Linked DNA regions of Drosophila melanogaster. The protein of the gene in region 1 interacts with the protein of each later gene in a biochemical or structural test. Each region holds a gene or a part of one and is shown in the gene's direction. Other genes may lie near its edges.

What was found. The genes of interacting proteins can lie anywhere in the genome.
Region 2: the proteins of per (region 1) and tim form a complex in vitro, tested with the Drosophila melanogaster proteins (one study listed by BioGRID).

Annotation. Positions count from the first base shown.
Region 1 is NC_004354.4:2,683,726-2,691,616, forward strand, and holds the start of per (period), read left to right. Parts: upstream 1-1,854; 5' UTR 1,855-2,175; intron 2,176-4,471; 5' UTR 4,472-4,519; coding exon 4,520-4,614; intron 4,615-4,674; coding exon 4,675-5,714; intron 5,715-5,778; coding exon 5,779-6,135; intron 6,136-6,197; coding exon 6,198-7,891. UniProt on the Drosophila melanogaster protein: Essential for biological clock functions. Determines the period length of circadian and ultradian rhythms; an increase in PER dosage leads to shortened circadian rhythms and a decrease leads to lengthened circadian rhythms.
Region 2 is NT_033779.5:3,504,175-3,508,998, reverse strand, and holds the start of tim (timeless), read left to right. Parts: upstream 1-1,780; 5' UTR 1,781-1,803; exon of another isoform or gene 1,804-1,810; intron 1,811-2,242; 5' UTR 2,243-2,441; intron 2,442-4,420; 5' UTR 4,421-4,472; coding exon 4,473-4,638; intron 4,639-4,699; coding exon 4,700-4,824. UniProt on the Drosophila melanogaster protein: Required for the production of circadian rhythms. The biological cycle depends on the rhythmic formation and nuclear localization of the TIM-PER complex. Light induces the degradation of TIM, which promotes elimination of PER.

The DNA of each region.
Region 1 (7,891 bases):
GTGCTTACAGTTCAACGCTGGGACGGAATTGTGGTGCCAGTAATGCCACCTGATGTGCTACGTCCATCCTCTAATCGCAATCCATATTCATGGGTCCACAGGTCCTCGGACCTACGCCACTTGGACGTTGAAAGGGTGGGCCTTGGGAACTCGGCTCTAATCCCGCTCACAGTCCGACCGACACTCACCCGAAATCACCACCCGGAATCCGATTAGCGGCAATCAAATGAAATCACAGCACATCAAAACGCGACGGGGAGTGGCGAAGTGCGGCAAGTCAACAGTCGCAGCATCAAAATCAAATTAGCAGCAGTTTGGTGGCTAATTCGAACGCACTTTATCATTTTCGGGCAGGCGTCTGTGACTTTGTGGCACGTGTGTGGCCGCGATAGATAAGAGCGAGCCCCAGCAAATGCCAGCAAACTCCGGCTAGCTTGGGCAAACACCACACACGTGGCCACAAAGGAGCTGCGTGTGGAGTGGGTGCCGGGTCAAATGGATTTTCACACCCACTCGACGTCGGCAAAGCCGCCAATTAATAGAATTCAATTATTCAAAGCCACCGCAGGCCGATGGGACGGCTGATAAGGCATAAAGACATCCTTGGGCACTTCGATCGGATTAGGATAATAAAAAATGCTCCGAAAAAAAAAGAAGTTGTGGGGTCCATAAAAATATGCTTTTATGAGGGGGTAGCTAAAATCATTTCCTATTTATCAGATGCCTCAACTTTTAACCCTTCAATTGCGAAGACTAAAAGCCAAATTCAATGCACAGAAATTGCAAGTAATAATCATTTGTAACTGCATAGCAGTAGTATCAGCATCGAACCGAACCACTCGACCGCTCGGAGTTCATCAACCCCTCGTGGAAAGACGGGGAATCCCCTGCTGGCAGGTATGTGTAACGCCACCTGTGGGCCACAGCGCGCAACAGCCAGCTGGGCGGAGGCGGAAAAGCCAGGGAAAATCAGCTGTCGCTATCATCCCACTCCGTACGTGTTTCAGCGCACGCCGCGCACACCTGCCCAGGTAGAGCTTCCACGGGACAAACGGGAAACAGAAGCCCCCAAAAGCTTGGCGCCACTTTCAACTTTTCATCCGTGCTAGAGAGCCGAGCTGCTAGACCGATGCACTGCGTTGACTGCGGACTGGCGCTCTGGTGCACTGCTGGCCGCACTTGGACGATGACCAGGTGGGTGGGTGAGTAATGCCGTTGCGAAATGCCAGTGCCAGTGCGAGTTCGCACAATTCATGGTGGGGCAGGGACGGGTCCGAGTGCAAAAAGCGTCCGAGAAAGCCGTAGGCAGTGAAAAGCCGCCGCTCACGTGGCGAACTGCGTGACTTGGCCAGCAAATCCGCCGCCCAGCCGGCTCCCCGGAAAACACCCCTCGGAAAACGTGCTGCCAGCCGCCCACCAGGCAGCCCCAAAAAGGCAGGGGATTCCATAGCTTTCCTTAACCTGCAGTTGGTGCGTGGGGCTTGGATTGACACTTGGCATCGGCAGTGCCATGTAACGTATCCCACAGCATAGATAAAAACCAAAAGAAACTAGTATTCAATAGAAGCTATGAAAAAGAAAGATATCCAACATTATAGCAATCTATAAATGGGGTTTCTTGCTATGGAAAAGGGAGTCTTTGGCATTCCAATTACTTGCTTTTGTTGTTCGCGCAAAAGCTTCGCCCAAGGGTTAATGTTTGGGTCCGAGTATCTCAGCCGACCAGCGATTTCCCGAGCGACTGCGATTCCCAGCGATTCTCAGCGACGGCGGAGAGCAGCGAGTGAGTGTGAGAAAATTCTGGGAATGCGAGTGCACGGGGGCTTATACACCGGAGCTTGCGATGCGAGCACTAGTGTTCGTGCGAATTTAGAGCCAGAAGGTCGACAACGCGTTCGTCGCACAGTAGAAAGTATTGCCATATACCAAATAAATCGCAACAACGACCTGTCGAATCACGCAAACAAACAGCTTCGTTTTTTTTTTTTTAATTTCGACCAGAAACAAACCGTTATTCTTTGGTGCCAGTGTTAGTGTCAAGTGTATCGAGCTGAGTGACATATAGCCACAGCCAAAAAGTGAGACCATAAGTGAGATTCCAAACAGAAGGCAGCAGCAGCCTAATCGCAGCCTAATCGCAAAAAAGTGCAGCTGGGTGAGAGCGAGAGCGAGTGTGTAAGTGCAATTGTCACGTTGTTGCAATAAAGCTGCAAAGAAAAATCTCAGCAAGAGGCGCTAGATAGACCATTATCATATTGCCAATACAAAACAACGCATTGGGCAGGCAGCTTACATAAATAACTCGGTTCATAACGTCCAATGGCGCACTTACACATATGTACATATAGTGTTTATTAATAAGTGCACGTTGCACACCGAGCAAAGCGTAAACAAAAGCCCACATCAAAATACCTGACCCTACCGAACAATGCTCCGGGAATGCCCCACCACTTCCTTCCTTGCAGTGCCAAACAAACATACTCTGGCCGCAGAATACGCATACGCAACGTGGTGCACCACTGCAGCCGCTTGCCTTCCGGTCACCTGGAGTGCAGTACTGCAGCACACTGCGCCTACGTGAAGTGAACTCATTCATATATGTAGCTACATAGCTCTAATCGATGCCCGGCATCCAATCTGGGTCAGAGCATATTGCGCATACGCAGCGTGTTCCCTTTTGGGCATTGCACCTTGGTATTTTCAGCTTATTTGCTGCACACACGCCACGTGGGCGCAGTAATTTCTGGCAAATTTGGAATGTCTATTAAAACCCCTACGATTTGGATAGCCGCAGTCGCAGTCGCGTTACACAAGCTAAACAGAGTACCACCATTAATAGCTCAACGTTCCCATTCGTGCCCCGAATTTTCCCACAGTCTTTCCCAGTATGTCTTGCCCCCGGGTTATGCGACTGTTATCCATGTCTGTCGCGCTTCCTGTGCTGCATTATCTAACATCCTCGGAATGACGCACGACCAATGTAATCCAGCAATCCAGAGGCATCGCGGCGGATTCGATTCGACCAGTTGGCCTTCTTGCTTTGCTGCGTCAAAGTTCACCCACATATGGGATGCGAACTGGGTTAACCAGCGAGTTACACAATCCTTGGTGGGTATAAACTGAAGGATTTGGGCAGATTGAGCAGTCGGTTGGAAGCCAGTTTGTTGGGCAAAAAAATGGTATTATCCAATGGAATTTTTCACCTTCTTTGGAATTCTTTCTTCTTGAATTCTGGGCCGTCGAAACAACTATCAGCTTGTTTACTTGGCCCATTTGGTTATCTTTGCTTTTAATGGAAACTCTGAAGAGCCTGGAATGGGGTCCACCCTAATGCCTGTGTGTCTGTGTAGTATTTTTGGGTTTAGTTGATTCAGCCAAATCGGAGAGAATGAACCTGGGTCTTATGCAATCGCTGAAACCGAACTCCTTGCCGAATTGAATGCTTGCTATATGCACCGATTACGACATAGTGGTGCATTGTGAGAAATATGAGTTCTTCGCTGCGTTCTTTTTTTGTAATTGCAAAATTGCTGAAAAGAATGTGTCTTCTACTGAGGTACAGGGTACATGGTTCTGAACTACACACTACACGTATCTAAGTATCTAAGTACGTATCTGCGAATCTGGAGCCGGGATGCATTGCGACTGCATAACGACATCCGTTGGCGGAGCGGCAGAGGCAACGCGAGAGCAAAAGCACATCGCACTGCACGTGAATGCAGCGTCGCGCCGTCTCGCTCTCGCTCCCGCTGCGCTGTTAATTAGCACAGTGAAGCCTCGTTGCAGGCAACCACCGTGTGGGCGACATTGTTCTCTATCTATCGTTCTGAGTCTGGGCCGGGCAGAGAGTATACGATTCAATCAATGGCCACCATGCAGGTGCAAGTCAAGGTGACAATTTCACAACAATGCTCCAGCCAATTAGGACTAGAAGTTATCCAAGCCATGATTCATGAACATGAATGGCAGGCAGTCGGAACACGTGCAACGCCTGGTTTCCCCCCCATCATCCATTCGCTTGGCCTAGAAGATCCTAGAAAGCGTTGGTGGTTAGCTGGGCGGCACAATACTATTGGCGAGCAACGTGAAGACGGTAACGAAGCAACATTCGGAATTTGAATTGGATTCTAGAGAATCGGGGGGGTTTGCGCGTCGCAGCCCGGTGCCGCAACAGATTTCGTGATTCATTTCATCACCCGGCCGAAGTGAAACTACTCACAACGCAATCGACTCACGTTGATGCAACAGCGCTGCTCTGAATGAATCCGGTGCAAATAGAATCCGCATTGTAGTGGTTGGTCATTCATTCAACGGATACTCAGTAGTCACGGAATCTCCTCGAAGGAAGGACAAACATAGATACATAGGTTCATCATAGAAGTGAAATCAGTTAGTTAGTTATTTAGTTACCCCCATTCAAGGTCCTATCAAGGATAACTGAAGTGCTAATGGTCATCATACGATTTTCCAGAATCTCGCACTAGTCAACCAACTGGGCAAGCTGGAGAACCTAAGCACCATGGAGGGCGGCGAGTCCACGGAGTCCACACACAACACCAAGGTGTCCGACTCGGCCTACTCGAACAGCTGCAGCAACAGCCAGTCGCAGCGCAGGTGAGTCCATTTGATGTGCTCAATCATGCGAGTAGTCTAAACGATCCATCCCCTTTCCAGTGGCAGCTCCAAATCCCGCCTGAGCGGCAGCCACTCCTCCGGCAGCAGTGGCTATGGGGGCAAGCCCTCGACGCAGGCCAGCAGCAGCGACATGATCATCAAGCGCAACAAGGATAAGTCGCGCAAGAAGAAGAAGAACAAGGGCGCCGGCCAGGGGGCGGGGCAGGCGCAGACCCTGATCTCGGCGTCGACGAGCCTAGAGGGCAGGGACGAGGAGAAGCCGCGGCCCAGCGGCACTGGGTGCGTAGAACAGCAGATCTGCCGAGAGCTGCAGGATCAACAGCACGGCGAGGATCACAGCGAGCCGCAGGCCATAGAGCAGCTGCAGCAGGAGGAGGAGGAGGATCAGTCCGGCTCCGAGTCGGAGGCGGACCGAGTCGAGGGCGTGGCCAAGTCGGAGGCGGCACAGAGCTTTCCGATTCCCTCGCCGCTATCCGTCACCATTGTCCCGCCCTCGATGGGCGGCTGCGGCGGAGTGGGCCACGCAGCCGGTCTGGACAGCGGGCTGGCCAAGTTCGACAAGACCTGGGAGGCAGGTCCGGGCAAGCTGGAGTCCATGACCGGGGTGGGCGCAGCGGCGGCGGGCACAGGGCAGCGCGGGGAGCGGGTGAAGGAGGACAGCTTCTGCTGCGTCATCTCCATGCACGACGGCATCGTCCTGTACACGACGCCCAGCATCACCGATGTCCTGGGCTACCCGCGCGACATGTGGCTGGGCAGGTCCTTCATCGATTTTGTGCACCTTAAGGACCGCGCCACCTTCGCCAGTCAGATCACCACGGGCATACCCATTGCGGAATCCAGGGGCAGCGTGCCCAAGGACGCCAAGAGCACCTTCTGCGTGATGCTGCGTCGCTACCGGGGACTCAAGTCCGGCGGATTCGGCGTCATCGGCAGGCCCGTCAGCTACGAACCCTTCCGCCTGGGGCTCACCTTCAGGGAGGCTCCGGAGGAGGCGCGACCGGACAACTACATGGTCTCCAATGGCACCAACATGCTGCTCGTCATCTGCGCCACTCCGATCAAGAGCAGCTACAAGGGTGAGTATCTGTGCCCGTTTTGGTTTCATCCAGCCATCTAACCATCGATCTCTGCCCCCCCCAGTTCCCGACGAGATTCTCTCACAGAAGAGCCCCAAGTTCGCCATACGCCACACGGCCACCGGGATCATATCGCACGTGGACAGCGCGGCGGTCAGTGCACTGGGCTATCTGCCGCAGGACCTGATTGGCCGCAGCATCATGGACTTCTACCACCACGAGGACCTCTCAGTCATGAAGGAGACCTACGAGACGGTAATGAAGAAGGGTCAGACGGCGGGCGCCTCCTTCTGCAGCAAGCCATACCGCTTCCTCATCCAGAACGGTTGCTACGTCCTTCTGGAGACCGAATGGACCAGCTTCGTCAATCCATGGTCCCGCAAGCTGGAATTTGTCGTCGGACACCATCGCGTCTTTCAGGGTGAGTTCGCGTGCCGACCCAGTGATCCAATGATCCTCTAAACAGGTCATTTCACCTTCCAGGACCCAAGCAGTGCAACGTCTTCGAGGCGGCGCCCACATGTAAGCTGAAGATATCGGAGGAGGCACAGAGCCGGAACACGCGAATCAAGGAGGATATCGTGAAGCGCCTGGCGGAGACGGTGTCCCGTCCGTCGGACACGGTCAAGCAGGAGGTTTCCCGCCGCTGCCAGGCGCTGGCCAGCTTCATGGAAACGCTCATGGACGAGGTGTCCCGGGCGGATCTCAAGCTGGAGCTGCCGCACGAGAACGAGTTGACCGTCTCGGAGCGGGACAGCGTGATGCTCGGCGAGATTTCGCCGCACCACGACTACTATGACAGTAAGAGTTCCACCGAGACGCCGCCCAGCTACAACCAGCTAAACTATAACGAGAACCTGCTGCGTTTTTTCAACAGCAAGCCGGTCACGGCGCCGGCGGAGCTCGATCCGCCCAAAACGGAGCCGCCGGAGCCGCGCGGCACGTGTGTCAGTGGCGCCAGTGGTCCGATGAGTCCCGTCCACGAGGGCAGCGGGGGCAGTGGCTCCTCGGGCAACTTCACCACCGCCAGTAACATACACATGAGCAGTGTGACAAATACGAGCATTGCCGGCACTGGTGGCACGGGCACTGGTACAGGTACAGGTACTGGAACTGGAACTGGAACCGGGACAGGAACTGGAACCGGGACAGGAACTGGAACGGGAACAGGTACAGGCACAGGCACAGGCACTGGAACAGGCAATGGAACAAATTCCGGCACCGGAACCGGCACCGCCAGCTCATCCAAAGGCGGAAGCGCCGCCATACCGCCAGTCACGCTGACCGAATCCCTGCTCAATAAGCACAACGACGAGATGGAGAAGTTCATGCTGAAGAAGCACCGCGAGTCGCGCGGACGGACGGGTGAGAAGAGCAAGAAGTCCGCCAATGACACCCTTAAGATGCTGGAGTACAGCGGTCCAGGCCACGGGATAAAAAGAGGAGGCTCCCATTCCTGGGAGGGAGAGGCCAACAAGCCCAAGCAGCAGCTAACCCTGGGAACAGATGCGATCAAGGGAGCGGCAGGAAGTGCGGGCGGAGCAGTCGGCACTGGCGGTGTGGGATCAGGAGGAGCCGGTGTGGCGGGCGGAGGAGGATCCGGAACAGGCGTAGCAGGCACACCAGAAGGCAGAGCCACAACGACCTCGGGAACGGGGACACCAGGTGGAGCCGGAGGCGGAGGCGGAGCAGGAGCGGCAGCAGCGGCTGGAGCGTCCTCCTCCGTGGGCAGTTCCACGCCAGGACCCTCGTCCTATCCCACCTGCACGCAAAACATAAACCTCTGGCCACCGTTCTCGGTGGGCATCACACCGCCCGTTCACTCCACGCACACGGCCATGGCCCAGAGCAGCTTCTCCTCCGCCGGCCTCTTCCCGACCTTCTACTACATCCCCGCCTCCTTGACGCCCACCAGTCCCACGCGCTCTCCCCGGATGCACAAGCATCCGCACAAGGGTGGCACGGACATGCCCACCACCTCGCAGCAGGCGGCTGCCGCGGCCGCCCAGGCCATGCCGCTGCAGTACATGGCCGGCGTGATGTACCCGCATCCTTCGCTTTTCTACACACACCCGGCGGCGGCCGCGGCCACGGCCATGATGTACCAGCCGATGCCCTTTCCGGGAATGGCCAACGCTCTCCAGATTCCCGAACGTCCGTTGGGCTCCCAATCCGCG
Region 2 (4,824 bases), on another chromosome or scaffold:
AGCACGCAGCCAGCATTTCAAACACGCGACCCTCCAGGATATCGCACACTTCGCCGGCGCATGTCGCGTTGTTGGAAATGAGTCTACTTGGCCACGTTAAGAGGATGTGTCGGGCTGCACGAGTCCTTGGCCGTTTGTGAGGGATGGAGTGGGCATCGCATCTAATTGTTTTGCTTTTGATTGGGAGGCTTATCAGCCAACTTTCATCGTGACTGTCCACCGTTCATGTGTTACATGCGGCGTATACGCAATTACTTGCATTACGTATACGTAGGGACAAGTTTTTGTGCATTGGCGTGGCTTACTTTGCCGCTGAACGGACTCCGCCATTGTTGTGTTTGCTTAGTGATAAATTAGCTTACAGAAATTAACATCAGGCGTTGCATAATTCAGATGTATGTACTTGCATAGCCTTGGCATTGGCGAAGTGATCGCACAACTTACGTTGAGTGGAAACTTTGGGCGGATCGGCTGAAGTGGTCTAATCAATGCTATGTTCTTACATTGGCACTTTCGTTTTTCTCCATTCACTTTGCAGCAATGGATATATAACTTAAATATTATTTGCAAAAAATAAAAAAATTAATTCATAGTTGAAATGTATTCAATCAAAATCTGCTCCTTTATATTAAAAATATAGTTAGATTGTCACCTTTTACAAAAGTCTAACCATCTAATTAACAGCATTATTAATTTGTTTCTTTTTTTTGTGACAACTAATCTTCTTATTGAAATAATAGAATTTGATAGTCTGGGTTGAATAACATTTTGACGTCAAATCGCCTATTGTGAGTGAGTGACTTCGTAAAATGAGAGTGTCAGTTATTTATTTCTATCGCCCCAGTCCGAGCAAAAGTATTTTCCTAAACCTCCGTTTCCAGTCGATTTACCACCGCGATTCGGTGCCGACGTGCTGCAGCTCGCGCCACCGTGGAAACACTCAAAGTAAATATATACGCTCCCCACAGTATACGCATTCAATGAGCCCGGTGCGTATACGCCGCGTGTGCCCGCGCCTGCAACCAACTGTTGATTCCGTTCCCAAAAGGATTATTCAACGGATCATCTGAGGCACTCAGAGCCGAACAATGTCACCCTGACGAAGCCTACGGCAGAGTCGTTCGAAGGCGGCGTCAAAAACGTTTAACTTTACACTGAAAAAAATATTGGTTTTAATGTGAAACGTCTGTGAGGAATACAGTACAGCAGCAGACAAAATAATATAATATTTATGTATGTAACAAAATATGTCATTGAATATATTATATACATATAAACGTGAGTGTTGTATAATCAAAAAAAAACGTAGTTTTGAAATCATTTATATTAATTATTTTGCACACTAAATATATACATTTATTAAATAAAGTAAAGTAAAGTATTAAAGTAAAGTGAAGTCTCGTTATTGAAGATACCATTTGGTAAAGTGACACACTTTTTTTTTTTGAGTGCACAGAAACGTTCTGACTATTGCTGTTGTTCCCAGACTGTTCTCCGTATTTTCCGGCGCTGGTTATTCATGTTATCGAACATCGTAGTGGCGGTTGGCAAATAAACGTGCGGCACGTTGTGATTACACGTGAGCCGATTTCCCCGGCCGTCCGGCATTGAGTGCGAGCGGGACGGAGCAGCGCGGCGAGAGCTTTCGGCTAGCGTCTTTCGTTCGCACAAACGCCGGCAGCGGCACGTTGGCCCTGTGTGAGTGGGTGTTTCGGTCAGTGTGTGTATCTGTGAGATGCATTTTGTATCTGACTTCGGTGAGCTAGCCGTAACTCAGATCGCATTCAGCATTGTGCGTTCCAAGTAAGCGGTTCGTTGAGCGGTTCGAAGTTTATCAACAAAATAGAAGTTTCGAAAATAAATATCTCTTAAATAAAGAAAATTTAATAAAGATATTTTGCTAAAATAATCTTGAATACTTTTGTGAATTCATGCAATAATATTTATTAATTCACATATCAATAATCTTAAAGAGAGTGCTTACATGACTCACTGGTCTTTCTCTCAGTGTTTAGCCTAGATTGCAATCGAAAAAAGTGCAAATTAATTGCTATTGAAGTTGCATTTTACATAAGCCAACAACGAGTATAAAGAATTTTTTGTGCAGTGTTAACAAAGCAAAGTTCACAAAGTGTTAAATAAAATTGCAAATCCTTAACAAATTTTTCATGAGTGGTTAAAATCTTAATATTACCAAAAAAACTGAATTTACCCTAACAAATATTCTTAAAACTACTTTCAGATATAAAACAAAAATAATTTCATCAGTGTATATAACAGCACTGAAACTATAACACGATCTATTCTGCAAAGAAACCCAAAAAGTGCTCAGAAAAGCTCAATTGCTTAGAAACATAAACAATCAGCTTTAATTGTTGATTGCAATTCGGCTAAAACTAAAACAGTAAAATTGTCTGCGATAGAAAAAATTTAAATAATTGGTAAGAAATATAAACCACTAGTATATTTAACATTACATAGCTTAGACCTGACCTAACACAGTTCGTTATCAGTTGACCCCTGACAAAATTACACTTTAACAAAGCTTTCTAAAAAGTAGCTTTAAGCGGCGACATATTCAAGCAATTAAAGCTTGCACAGAAAGAAAACCCATTTCCACATGAAAACGAAATCACATAATACTGGGAAAATGAAAACAAGTTAAAGGGGCAATTTACGAAGCACAACAATTCTCCGTTACAATTCTTATGTAAAAAGCACGCAGTGAACTGTCAAAAAAGGAGGCTTGGCCTTCCACGGAATTCCTGTCAGAAACAGGATAGCGAAATAAGTACGGGAATCGTCCTGAAACTGACAGATTTCATCCTGGCACACAGATGTTCAGTGGTTTCTGCTCGTTTAGCTAGGATTTTAACGACCCTCAGATGTATTTGCATTGCAAATTCAAATCTTAAATATTTATTCGTGATCTATCTTTGCTTTCCGTTTCAAATGCAAATTCAACCTCGCTTCAATGAATTTCCCCTTTGCGAAAGAATGAAAATTGTTTTCACTCTCCAAGAAAAGTAGATACTCAGCTCGAAATTTCAATGCGCATATCATTTTGTAGTTCTCGCCTTGCGTTTTATGTAAGTTGGGTCTTTGATTTCATAACCAGTCAGCGGAAATGGTATTGGGGTTGCTAGAAACGTTTCACAGATACAAAGATGCTCAGATGATCTATGATTTCGGATGGTGCAAAAATTATGCTCGACCAACAAAATTCGATATTAGTTTCAGTAGAAATATCTAAGTAAAATTTAAAAGAAAAGTATTTTTATTTTTTTTCTCTTAGATATCACTGTTTTCTTATTAATTATATTTTTTAATATTTTCTATAAAATGTCCATAATTTATTGTCCCTCAATTTACACACAATTAAATCTCCCTTCTTAGATATAATTTCCTATTGAGCATTATTACATTTTAAAACAATTTTATAGTAAATCAGCTAGGCCATAAATGGCTTTGTAATTTTAAAATTTTCTCAACTGTTTGCGCTGTTTATTTTCCGCTCTTGGCCATTTAGCGTGCCATTTAACGTGTTCGCCCAAAAGAGGGCAACGAAAACCAATGCAACTAAACTGCATTCGCTTTAATGGCCAAATATAGCACGAAACATTCAAAGTCAGCAGGCTGGAAGCCGCACAAATGCCAAATCCTGCATCCCGATTCATGTCCTATAAATATCGCTACGGGTGGTCGGCTTTTCCGACTGCAGGCTTTGTTCCTCCGGAGTCCCGTAGTCCGTAGTCCGTTTGCGAACCCAGTGGCTTTGTCCTCCAACTGTGTTGTTTACACAATCAGCCCGGATGTCTGCAAGTGAGTCACATGCGGCCACCGGGTGCCGCAGTCGCCTGTTGAGGATTTGCCTCGTTACGTGATGGCTGAAGGTTGGGCTCCCCCCTGTGTGGGGGGGGGGGGTGGTGGTGTTTGCCAATCCAGCCCACTTTTTCACTTTCCGGACTGGCAAGTGTGGCTTCTGGGAACTTTCGGGGCTCGTCTGGTAGGCAGTTTCCTTGATTCGACTCGCAACGGGTGGTAAATGGGAGACGTGCTGTGCGGACACGTGTGTGAGGTGATGTGGAATGGGAGTTGATTCGGGTTTCATCCCCGAGCGGCTGCAATTGCAGCACATTGCATGGACTGCGCCCTTGATGGTCACATGGGTGGCGATTTTGTTTGCGAGTGCAAATATTTATGGGAATCATTTGTGGTTGCGTAATGCCCTGGAAGACGATGGGTTAGTGACCTTAACATATTTTAAGGTGACTGTTACAGCTTACAAAAATGCCATAAATTTTTCACCATTTCACATCTCAGTTTAAATGTGTAATATTATTTAAATTCACCTCTGGTACCACGTTAAGAATATTTAAGTTTTAATAACAATTAAATATACATTTTTGTTTACTTATAGTTACAGATACCGCGCAAATGGCTAAGAAGTACCTCAATGTTCGCAGTCGACAATGAGCAGAGTTAGGCAGCTCCACAATCACATCTGGAATAATCAGAACTTTGATAAAGTGAAATCGGTTATGGACTGGTTACTAGCAACTCCGCAGTTGTACAGCGCGTTCTCCTCCTTGGGTTGCTTGGAGGGCGATACCTATGTGGTCAACCCGAATGCATTGGGTGAGTAATCAATATAGGACTACTACATTAATTAGGTATTTAACTTATTTTCAATCCCCAGCCATTCTGGAGGAGATCAACTACAAGCTCACCTATGAGGACCAAACACTGCGCACCTTTCGACGGGCCATTGGATTTGGCCAGAATGTGAGGTCAGACCTGATACCGCTGCTGGAGAATGCCAAG